Linked DNA regions of Caenorhabditis elegans. The protein of the gene in region 2 purifies or fractionates together with the protein of the main gene of each other region. This does not show direct contact. Each region holds a gene or a part of one and is shown on either strand. Other genes may lie near its edges.

Region 1 (6,155 bases), on a different chromosome or scaffold from region 2:
CACTCATTCAATTCCTTATTCCGTTTATGCAGGTGATACATGAGTTCACCAAACCAAAAACAGTTTTCCAGACAACGTGTCTTTCATTTCTTGGAGTTCCTAAAATTTTGATTATTCTAGTGAACGCCGGGAGATTTCGTTTGGCGTAGGAAGTGTGATAAGTAATTTTGTTATACTCTTTGTATATCAAACAATAGAAGTTCAGAACAAAAAAAAAGTTTCGGAAGTGATTCTAATCCTGAAGCTGAAATTTTATTGTTCATTTTTCTTAAATTTGAAGAAATTAAAACTTCCGGGAAATTAACTAATTTTTAAAAATCTGTACGTTTCTACAACTTCTTTCACCTCAAAATTCAAATGCAAAAACTTGTCAGTTTATCTAATTTCCTAAACACTTCGAGAGTGGGCATTTCATAGGTACGGTCGGTTTCTGGAATTTACCCTGGTCAGCGAAAAAAAAATCTGCTCGTGAGCAAGAATTCTCAAAATTGGAGATTCTGGTTCCAGCTGGTCGAAAACATAAATAAAATACGTTGTCTGACTTTTTTTTTGCTATAAATATCTCTAAATGTTCTAAAGTCACCATATTATCCCAGACAAAAATTCCATGATCTGTTTATTAATTTTCACAAAAAAATTTAGGTGATAATTCTGACATTTGTGATCTGAAATCGTTTAAAAATTATTTTGAGGTTCGTAAATGTAACTTCAAAAATCATTCTTATCAATGTTTAATTCCGGTCTTTCCAATATTTCATACAAAATGAACGAACTCCGAATTTGGCTTGATTTTATTTTAATCTTGGCATCTTGTGGTGCATGATTCGGCAAGAATAATTCAATATCAGAAAGTTCGAACATAATTTTTTTGCAATAATCTTTCCGCTTTTATTCGTTTTCAGACTCACAAAGACATTTAACTCATTTACTTTTTATTATTTTAGCTAGTGAAGTTTGAGATTTGGTCCCAGTGTTATTATTGATATCAAGACCAGATAAACTTGTTTCCGGTTTAACTCACAACAAAGCTAACGATTTCCGTTTGCGTGTCGTTTAAAAAACTTTACTCAATTGGCGTAGTTCTCTCTTTTTCAAAACGCTTTTCTAATCTATCTATTTTTCTGACCAGCTATCATAAAACCATAGCAACATAAATGTTTCCCTATAGAGCATCGGGTATTCTGTTTTTTTTTGATTGATAATATAAATATATCTCCCTCTAACCCAAATACACAACCAACAATCACATTATCTTTTTTCCTTCTTTTTGATCATTCCCACGCTCAAGTAGTCTCGCGATTTTTGAGTGTATTTCATTCAACATGCAAGTCAGAAGTTGTTCTCGTGTTTTTGTTTTGTTATTCACCTTTTAGTTTCTTTGTTACAGAGAGGCTTAATTGGGAATCTGCGGTAGTCAAGGAAACCGGGGGGAGAGGACCGCCGCTAATCATCACTACCTTCCTTCTCATTTCATTTAATCATAACTTTGCTTTTTTCCCTTTTCTTCTCTCGTGTTCTCCACAACTTTTTTTTTACATTTTTGTGTTGTCACGACTTTTAAGCCTATGTGATTTTAAATTTGTGTTGAGCTCATGCGCTTTTCGGAAAAATTTTGCGAACATAACGATTACAACTGGTTTCAAACAAAAATGTAATTTATCGCCATTTCATTTAAATATTTCTTGACTTTGACGGGTAGTGAAAAAGTGTTCAGATGTTTTTCGGTGAACCAAAATCTGTGGTTTTAGAGAAAGTTTCCAAATGTCATTTTGAACGTTCTTGAAAAACTGGTTCATCTTTAACATTGAGACAAAAAACAATTTGTGTTAAAGAAAAAAACATCCCAATCTAAAGTACAAATCTACAAATCTAAAGTAACTATGTTCTTCACGTGCTACCATGTTGCTTTTTCATGGAAAATTATGGCGTCACACAAGGTCTTGAAATTTAGGATTTACCTATCTCTCTTTAAGTCTAACAAGTTCTTTCGAAATTATATTGTCGTTTCTAGTGTTGATGACTTTTGAAAATTAGTCAACGAGTTTGGTTTCATCCCGAGTTACGTATCTATTTATTTTTTTTTTTTGGTACATATTCAGTTTGTCGCGCGGCTTTGAAATACGGGTTTCAAATAATTTTTTTTGAAGGAATGTTCTCTTGCATTGATGGATTTGAAAATTCTCATGAAAATAGTAACTTTTTTTGACGAAACTTGTACATTCTCTCTGAGCAATACAGTGGAAATTGACTTTATTTCCGGTGTGAAATCTACATTTTCGTTGCCGAAAAGTCTGTTCAGTTTGTCTCGACAAGCTTTCTGAAACTTTTTTTTTGGCATGACAACATGTTTTGTTTTTTTTTTTCTGATTAGTCATTTCATTTGTCTCGTTGTCTAAGTTGAATCTCGCTGGCATCCTATAATTAAAGTTTGCGTTCTCTATCATAATCGTCATAATCTTTGAATTATTTTTGTTCTTTCAAAAATTTCAATATATGTTCAGGGAAACATGGGGGTCTGTCAGTCATTTGTACTCACTGACGAGATGAAGGATCAGATCAAAGTTAACAAGTCAGTTTTTGAGTTACATGTTTCATAATTGTCGTTAATATTTCAGAGAAATAGAAAAACAGCTCGAAAAGAAGAAAAACATGCAATTGGAGCAAACCGTTCTTCTACTGGGGCCTGGTGAAAGTGGAAAAAGTACTGTCATGAAACAGATGAGGTATATTTGATTTTTTAATAATTCTTGTACATGACCTAATATTTTGAATTAACAACGGGAAAATAAATAGGTTTCTGATTATACCTTGGGAGTTGTGTCTGTTTCTTTCTGTTTACAGTTTGAAAATTAATTAATAACTATTATATTTCCTGTTATATGGGTAGCCAAACATTCTATTTTCAGAGCCATGACTGGAAACTACACAAAGACAGAACTACACGAACGAAAAGTGCTAATTATACAGAATTTATGTCAATTTTCTGAGATGTTGTTAGAATACGTCAGAGAATATATTTTGGAGATGACGGAAGACGATGATAAAGTGAGTTTTGCGACCTCTCGGGTTTTATTAGGTTTCAAATTAAAAACTTTTAGCGATATACTGTGATGTGCGAAGAACTGAAAATGGCGGTAATTCATGATGGAATAATGAGACCTGAACTCGCCGATACACTGAAGGAATTCTGGGGAAACAGTGCAATACAGGACGCGTATTCCAAGAGAGACACATTTCATTTGACAGATAGTGCCAAGTAGTGAGTTTTTTTTTTGGAAACTTGTAGCGCATTCATAGTTAGAATTATAGAAAAATGTTTCAATTGATTCAAAAACACGTTTCAAAAATGTCTGAAATGTTTCTTAAAATATTCTTTTATGTCACACAGTTATTATTTAAATGTTTCGAGTTATGTATATGTTTGTTCGTTCACAAATAAAACCAAACTACAGACATTGTTCGTGTATCTGTCATTTGGTCTAACGGAACATGTAATTAACAGGTCTAGAAAAAAAAAATTGTGATAGTGATCGCTGAAGTCTATGATGTTAACTTGTTTATGTTCTTGTTCTAGCAGGCAAATTTTGCAATAAAAAATCAATTGAATAACTACATTAAATTATCTCAAAATTGTGTTATTTGAACTTAATAATTCATTTTCAGTTTCTTCGACAACATCGACCGTATAAAATTGCCAGGCTTTGAACCGACAAATCAGGATATTGTTCACATACGGGTACCTACAACGGGAGTTGCACAAGTCGAAGTTATTATGAACAATATCAAATTGATGATTTGCGATTGTGGTGGACAACGATCTGAAAGACGAAAAGTTGGAAATTTAACTATTTCTTTGTTTCCTAATTGAGAATTTAATTTCAGTGGTATCACTTTTTCGATGAGGCTGACGCTGTTCTTTTTGTAGCGGCTATTAGCGAGTTTGATCAGAAGTTAGCGGAGGATGAAGAGACGGTAATTTTTCCAAACAGCCACAAAATTGAAACGAAAAATTAAATTTTAGAACCGTATGCATGAATCCATCAGATTGTTCTGGACAGTTTTTAATGGAAAGTTTTTCAAAAAAGCGGCAGTCATACTTTTCCTGAACAAAATTGATTTGTTCGAGGAGAAAGTAAAACATGTGAAGATTAAGGATTACTTTCCAAAATTTGAAGGTTTGTTTTCCAAGTTTTTGAATTCATAGTTTCATGTTTCAGGAGCAAACACAGTTTCAGAAGGTACAAAGTTCTTTCGGAGACAATTTAGAGAAGGGATTCACCCGGACTTCAAAAAAAGAATGTGAGTTTTTGAGACTACAGTTTTGTGTCTACTGCACTTTTGAAAATCTAACTATGAACTTACAAACTAAAAGAATTCTGAACGTATTCGACTTCTTGGATATTTTTGACTTTTTTGTGCCAGTATGGAACACTAACAGTACTAGAAAATAAAATGTAAATTTCAAAAACGTAATTTTACAGGTACACCCATGAAACATGTGCAATATCGGATCAAGTTCAAATAATCATCAATACAGTGATAGATACAGTTATTCAAGATAATCTCAAAGATACGGGAATGATATGAACTCCAATCGCTCTGCACAAATTATTGTTCTTCAATTTAGTATCTGCCTCAAACAACGTGTGTGATTAGTAATAATTATTCCCTATTCTATTTGAGTGGTGTCATTTTTTATTGATTGAAATTTATCGTGACTGAAACTCTGATGAAAATTTGTACTAATTTTCAGTGTAAAGTGAGAACCAAATAAGATTAAAGGAACATACATATTTATTCGAATCTCTTTTAGAAGAAAAATGTTCAATCGTTTTTACCTGACTTTTCACATCTTCTCAAACAAAAACATGCGACAAGATAAATGGACAGAATTCCAAAAATATACGGAAAGATAATAACAAGGTATACATCTAAAAGATTTCTTTGAATGAATCCAAGTGTCCTCCCATATGGATCCATTTCCGGGAACGGACCAAATTTTGCAACAAATTCAGTGTATTTGACTACGGTCTCCTTGGGATTTGTTGGTTGGTTTCTCAACATTTCTGCCAGTTTTTTAGAGTTCTTCTTAAAATGATCGTCGTTCAAAATTGAATAAATGGAATTTTTCACAAGTTCCCTTTTCCAAAGATCGTTTCGACTACAAGAACTCCTCCATGTCTTGCCAACATCAAAGAATTTCTGTTTTGATCGGCAAATACTGGTACCATTAATGCTGGTTTACCAAGATACGCAAGTTCAGTTGTGCTACCAAGACCTCCATGTGTCATGAATGCTGTTAAACGGTCATCATTTAGTAATGCGGTTTGAGGAATCCATTTTGAAAAATGAATATTTTCAATTTCTTCTGCTCATTGCAAATCATTTGTTTCATATTTCCAAATAAGCGTTACATTTGGTAAAGATTTAATTGCATTGAAAATTTCGTCTCTGAAATACATATCTGATTAATATTTTGATTACAACAGTGTGAAAATTATTAAAATAATTATAACTTGAATATGGAGTGGAGTTTTTGGAGTTTTTGCCTGAAAAACTGGCTTGAAAAAAAATGAATTCATGGCTCGAAAACTTCAAAAAAAAAAAAAAAAAAACTTCATAAGAAATAAATTATCAAAATATGAAAAATAAGAAAAAAATATGAAAAATAAGAAATAAATTATCAAAATAAATAGAAGCTTTTAGTCAAATGTATCTCTTTTTCAAAATATGAACCTTTAAAATGTCAATAGTTTGATGCATTTTCAGTTGATAAGTAGGCAAATCTTTCAGCTTTTGTGAGTCTATCGACTGAACAGGAATGGTTCATCTAATAGAAGTCACCAGGTTTACATAAGTCAAAAAAAAAGAAGACGATGTCTACTAATATCTACATACGTACCTGAACTGTGAAGGCATATCCACATTATCAATGAACCAAAAGAGATTAGCATTGTTTGTGGTCTTTTATCCAAAACTTTACTCCACTCCACTGGGAGCCTTTTCGATTTTATTTCTTCCATATTCACGGAAATTCCACCAATTGGAACTGTCTTTTGGGTAATAGTTCTTGGAAAGTCTACATATGGAATTGAATTTGTGAAGAACAATGAGCAAGCTGGCATTAAATCTCTCCAATGTGGAACGCTATCTCC
Region 2 (5,850 bases):
GAAGAAGAACTCGAAGAAAGTTTGGAAACTATGCCAGAATACAACAATTATCGCTTCAACCGTAGCAGATCTGTCGATCTCAGCTCGATTTCTAGGTATGTTTTGGAATTTCTTCGAAATATTTTTTTGAATATGTGTGGAAGTTTTTGCTTTGTAAAATAATCAAGAGCGGAAGTTATAAAACTAAACTTTATTTTTCAGGGAAAAATACCTGTCAAGATGGTCCAGAGAGAACACACCAGTTGACAATGAGAAGAGATACGCTTCTCATGTCCGTCGCAGTTACACTCCAGTTCGTGAAATTTCCGCCGTCAACAATGTGAACGACGGAAATTTGCATCGTTCAAGAACTCCATTGGCAACCGTAACAGCTCCATATCACACAAACATTCATTATCGATCGGAAAACGAACCATTCAGGAAATATGATGTTTATGGATTGAGAACCTGGAGTTATCCTATTTATAAGTAAGTCGTTGGGGTTTTTTTTGCGGGTCAAATGCTGCTTTTCTGTTCCTGTTGTTCCGAAATGTTTTTGACAAACTTTACATCTCTAGAAGATTTTCTGTTCAAAAAAATGTTCTGCATCTTCTCTTTTCTAGTGTAACATCTAGAGTTCAAGGCGTCAAAATGTCAATCGAAGAAATAAAAAAAGAAGCTAGGATATTCTTTTTTATTGGGCAAGAACCACAGAGCACATTAAAATGCAAAAATTGTTTGATTTTTCATTTCAGATATGTGTACGGACGAGAGGGAGACTACAGACGGCCATATTCATTTGATAGGAATTATGGATTAACACCCAGCTACACGCCTCCGCAGTTGACCGCTGAAAGTCGACCGATAACAACCAGACGAGGGTAAGAATTCCATTTATACCTGTATCTAAAATTTTCAAATTGTTTCAGATACTCCGGCTATTCCTATCTTGCCAATGAAACACATTATGACATCACCAGCCGCCCGAAAAGTTTGAGCTCCTACATGTACAGTAACAAGTATCTCGGAACCACGTGAGTATTTTTTGCACGTAGATAATGATGCATAGAGTCCGTTACAGAGCTGCCCCATGGTACTGGTCATGTTATGGAAACAGTGGTCTTCGTCACTTCAACAGCTATCGCCCACACAACTATACAAGCTCAACCGCTAGCTGGTCTCGTTATTATTAATGAATTTTCCTCCAACTTTTGTCCTCTTCTTCTTCATCGAATCGATCGATTTTTCCTTCCCCTGCCACGTCATCGCTTAATCATTTTCTGCTTTCCCCCTTTTATTGCGATCGACACAAAAAAAATTCACACAAAAATTGTTTTATTTGTAAATTCATTGGACCTTGAAGTCACACCTCCAAGACTAGAACAATAAATTTTGAAATTAAATTCACTTCTTAACTACTGTACTCTGTGAATTCTCATTGACCTTCAACTGGAATACATCCGGCCTACTGTAGTGTCCGACGACGTCTAAATCCATTTTTCCAAGAGCTAAATCAGAAAGATCGAATTCCGTGTAGCGAATCGTTTCTTTTGTGAAATCTGGCTCCACGAGCACAGTTCCAAGTGGATCAACTGCGCATGATCCACCGCGAATCAAGACTTTATCTTCACCGTGTTCTTTTCGAAGTGGGTGATCCAAGGGATAGTCGGAGGATTTGAGGAATTGACATGCAGATACTACGAAGCATCTGGAAGAAAATATTTGGGAGAATTCGAAGTTTGAACGGTCAGGGGCCGAAAACGGTCTGGGGTTCCAAAATTGGAGGTGAAGACCCATCAAGTTTGAGATAAAGTATTCTAAAATTTGGGCCAAGGGACTCGAAATTTAGAGTCAAAGATCTCAAAATTTTGGATCGAGAGGTTTCAAAATATGTGGCTAGGCAATTTGAAGTCAAGGGTCTTTACTAACCTTCCTTCTAATGCAATAGTCCTCATGGTAGAGAGCCAGACATCTCTATCGTCGACAGTTGGAGCTAGATAGATTTGGATTTCTGAAATTAATTATTTCTTGAATTTAGGTGTTAAATTAAATTTACTAACCTTTACTGTAAAGCGTCATTCGATATAATGGCATATAATTCTCCCAGCAAATGGCACTTCCAATTTTTCCAACACTTGTACTAAACACAGGCATTGTTGAACCATCACCTTGTCCCCAAACACATCTTTCTAGAGCAGTTGGCAAGAGTTTTCGGTGCTTTCCAAGGTAACCGGAGGGTGAGTAAAAGAATACAGAGCAGTATAAGGTTGAAGCTTCTCGTTCAACTACTCCGATTACAATATGGATATTATTCTGAGCTGCTAGAGATTCGATGAGCTTCGATTCCTCGCCGTTCTCTTCGATGGCGTTTTCGAAGTATCTATAACAGAAAAGTTATGCCTCGGCCGATTGTGAAGACATCAAAAAAATGTAGAAAAAGAAATGGCACATATTTTGTCAGTTGACAATTTTGTGATAAAACAAAAGACACTCGAGTTGTATGTGATTTCAAAGTTTGGTCATCCCACCTTTTAAACTCTTTCCTTCCTTCTGGAGTTCGTGTGCCCATTGTGATTCCAAAGCTGTTCCATTTTGGATATCCACCAATAAAAGCTTCAGGAAAGAGCACTAGTTCAGCTCCATTTCCAGCTGCTTCTTCCACATTTTTCTTAACTTTTTCCAGAGTTGCTGGTTTATCAAATAGTGGGGTCCCCGCTTGAACAATTGCAATTTTTGGCATTTTGAATCTGAAAAAAGGAGCATAGGGTTTGAAAAGAAGGATATTTTTCAGCTAAATTTGCTTCGTGGCCGAGCTTTCCATTTTCGCGGCCACAAATAAAAAGCCCACCTGGCCACCTATGCAGCTGAAAATACTGTCTGCACAGATGTTTTAAAAAAGTATGAAACCAAGAAAAAAAGCTATGGGATGTTACAAATACTAAAAAATGTATTCTTTTTATATAGCGACCAACAAGTCATCAAAGGCAAAAATGAACTCGGCATGGTCTGGCTGACGAAATGAAAATGATGACAATTAGTGATATGATAAGAATGTTTTCTTTGAGGGTTCATCGATGAGATTGTAAATTGTCACGTAGGCAAGTTCAAAATATCATTCATTAAAAGATGATGATGATCTATTGTTCTATTCTTTTGTAGTCACTTATAGTTTGCCTGTAGCAAATTGGGTTGTTTCGAGGGGACATTGAAGCGACAAGATCAATATTTTATGAACATTGCTCAAGAATGTTTGCTTAAATATTTATTTTGAACGAAAATGTCTATTTAGTCGCTTTTAATTGTTGAATTCAGATTTAAATTGGAAACTGTGATTTAAACTTCCGCGCAAAACATAGCGGGAGATCGGAGCGTCGTTGAAATTTTGTACTTTAATTTTTTTTTGTTTTTTTTTCATAATTTCCTCTTTTTTTTCTTTTTTCCTTGCTTTTTCCACACTAGTGTAAGCTTAAAATTTTCCAGAAAACATGTCAGATGATGGGGGCTTTCTTTCAAGTCAAAGTTCAAGGGAATTAACAGAAGATGACCATGAAAAGCTGGCAAAACAGGTATTTAACTAAAACTGTATTTTTAAAAACGCTTAAAAATGAATTTTCAGACGAGTATAAGCGATTTCAAGCGAAATAAACTGGAAATTGACGCTCGAAAAAATTGGGACAAATTCTATCATCGAAATAAAAACAATTTCTTCAAGGATCGGAATTGGAGTGCAGAAGATCTGAAAATGATGTGCCCAGACATAGATTTCGAGGTTTTAATTCTGAAATTGCACTGAAAAATTTTTAATTTTCATTTAAGAAAGAAATCTCCTATCTGGAAGCTGGATGTGGCGTCGGCAATATGCTTTTCCCATTAGTCGCTGAAATTCCAAATCTGAAACTTTTTGCATTCGATTTTTCGGACAACGCGGTGAAATTGTTGGAGGAACGCGCAAAAGAGCTTGAAGTATGTGCAAAAAACTCTGATATGAAACGTTTAAAATTAAATTTTCAGCTTTCCGTAGCAACATCTGTCGTGGATTTGTCAATTCCTTCAGTTTCATCTCCATTCGAAGAGCAAGTTGATCTTGCTACACTTATTTTTGTGCTATCCGCGATTCATCCCGAAAAACATCAAATTTCAGCGGAAAATGTAAGAAAAATGATAAAAGTGAGTGCTTTTTTAATTTCCAGCAACATAAAATTGGAATTTTTGTTCCAGATTGGAGGCTCTGTTGTAGTCCGGGATTACGGTATCAATGATCACGCTATGATTCGTTTCGGCCGGGAAGCAAGAATTTCCGATCGATTTTATGTTCGACAAGACGGCACCAGAGCTTATTATTTTGATTTGAATGAGCTTTCGGAGGTTTTTGAAAAATCTGGATTTCGATGTGTTCGGAAGGAGTATCTACATAGAATGACGGTTAATCATCAAAAAGGCCTGAAAGCTCCGCGGATTTTTGTGCAAGCCAGGTTTATTAGAGAGAGTTAATTGTTTTTTTTCAAATGTTTATTCGATTGTTTTGTTCTTGTTAACTAAAGTTGTTAATAAATTTATTGCAATTTCTTTGAATAATGCTCTTCATCGATCTCGCTCAGCGTTTTTGCAGCAATCTCCGGCGAAAGATCCCGTTGTTTTTCAGCAAAAACTTCATATCCAGCAAGGAATTTCGGAACAGTCGCCGAACGAAGAAGTGGCGGGAAGAATGACAAGTGGAGCTGCCAAAATGAGCAATTTTCAGTCAGAAAAGAGCCAGTTGGGGCTCCAGACCATCCCATCATGTAGGGAAATGAGCATTCAAAGACATTGTCGTACTTGATGAGTAGAGAACGAAGAATTTCAGAGAGTGATTGCTTTTCAACCTGGAATAGCGGAATTTTTGCCATTTTTAAATTATAATTTCAAATTTACGAACCTCTCCCAAATCAGTGAATCGTTCCACGTGTCGATTTGGTAGAAGCATTGTCTCATACGGCCAGAATGCCCAGTACGGTACGAGCCAAGTCCAGTGCTCATTTCTCATGATTATTCGTTCCTTTTTTAGAGTTTCCTGCTCCAGATAGTCCATCAGCATAACCTTCCCGTGCTTTTCGAAATGTTTCTGAAATATATTAATTTATTCTACCGGTTTTTGAAATGCCCCGCAAAAAATTATGTACGTTTTTTTTAGAAGTACAGTAACCCATTCCGAAATTTTCTTAGATTTTACTATTTACGATTTTTAAAATTGTAAGTGTCATATTTTGTTTCAAAACTACATTGGAAATATGAAATTCAAGTAAAACTGCAAAGAAGTGAGGTTACTGTACTTCTTAAAGGCGCAGCTTCGGTTTTCGAACTTCAAGTTCGTGGCGAGACCTTTTGACTCTCATGCTTCTTCATTGGCAGCGTCGGAAGATAATTTGACGCCCACAGTTGCCCATGTGGATGCATATTCGAACATCCGACAACTGCTCCACGATTTTCGAAGATTTGAACCCATTCGTATTTCGGGCCGAGCTCCAGATATTGTTGGTTCCAAATGTCAATGACAACGCGGACCTGAACATTAATTTTTAGATGTAGTTGGGCTCATACTTGGAAATGGGAGAATAGCCGTGAAATCTCTACCTCGGCATGTGTAGATTTACGCAGCTCGTGTACTCCCCGAGGAGAACTGTTTTGGAACGGAATATAACAGTTTAAACTTCAGTTTTCGGCTTGATCTCTTAATTTCAGATAATTTTCGCCATTCGTAAGCTTTCAATTTAGTGTTTAACTGATGAAAATCGAAAATTAATAAGTTTTTGTTAACGATTTTTCCCTGCAGAAAACAAATGAACACTTCTCCTCGGGGAGTACACGAGCAGCGTAAATCGACACAAGGTCTTC

Evidence for each region. The genes of interacting proteins can lie anywhere in the genome.
Region 1: the proteins of nit-1 (region 2) and gpa-10 fractionate together in Caenorhabditis elegans (co-fractionation; one large-scale study listed by BioGRID). This does not show direct contact.

The regions. Positions count from the first base shown.
Region 1 is NC_003283.11:6,851,156-6,857,310, reverse strand, and holds gpa-10 (Guanine nucleotide-binding protein alpha-10 subunit), read left to right. Parts: upstream 1-2,499; 5' UTR 2,500-2,507; coding exon 2,508-2,569; intron 2,570-2,615; coding exon 2,616-2,723; intron 2,724-2,906; coding exon 2,907-3,045; intron 3,046-3,098; coding exon 3,099-3,259; intron 3,260-3,663; coding exon 3,664-3,832; intron 3,833-3,882; coding exon 3,883-3,972; intron 3,973-4,021; coding exon 4,022-4,175; intron 4,176-4,217; coding exon 4,218-4,299; intron 4,300-4,481; coding exon 4,482-4,587; 3' UTR 4,588-4,790; downstream 4,791-6,155.
Region 2 is NC_003281.10:3,919,321-3,925,170, reverse strand, and holds nit-1 (CN hydrolase domain-containing protein), read right to left. Parts: upstream 2,965-5,850; 5' UTR 2,945-2,964; intron 2,911-2,944; 5' UTR 2,828-2,910; intron 2,727-2,827; 5' UTR 2,720-2,726; coding exon 2,508-2,719; intron 2,360-2,507; coding exon 2,040-2,359; intron 1,991-2,039; coding exon 1,909-1,990; intron 1,688-1,908; coding exon 1,384-1,687; 3' UTR 1,298-1,383; downstream 1-1,297. Other genes in the region: ZK1058.9 (uncharacterized protein), read left to right, coding at 1-95, 202-468, 735-860, 909-1,013, 1,061-1,172; metl-6 (tRNA N(3)-methylcytidine methyltransferase), read left to right, coding at 3,465-3,545, 3,596-3,748, 3,796-3,942, 3,991-4,146, 4,198-4,470; ZK1058.3 (putative galactose-1-phosphate uridylyltransferase), read right to left, coding at 4,533-4,841, 4,895-5,080, 5,338-5,520.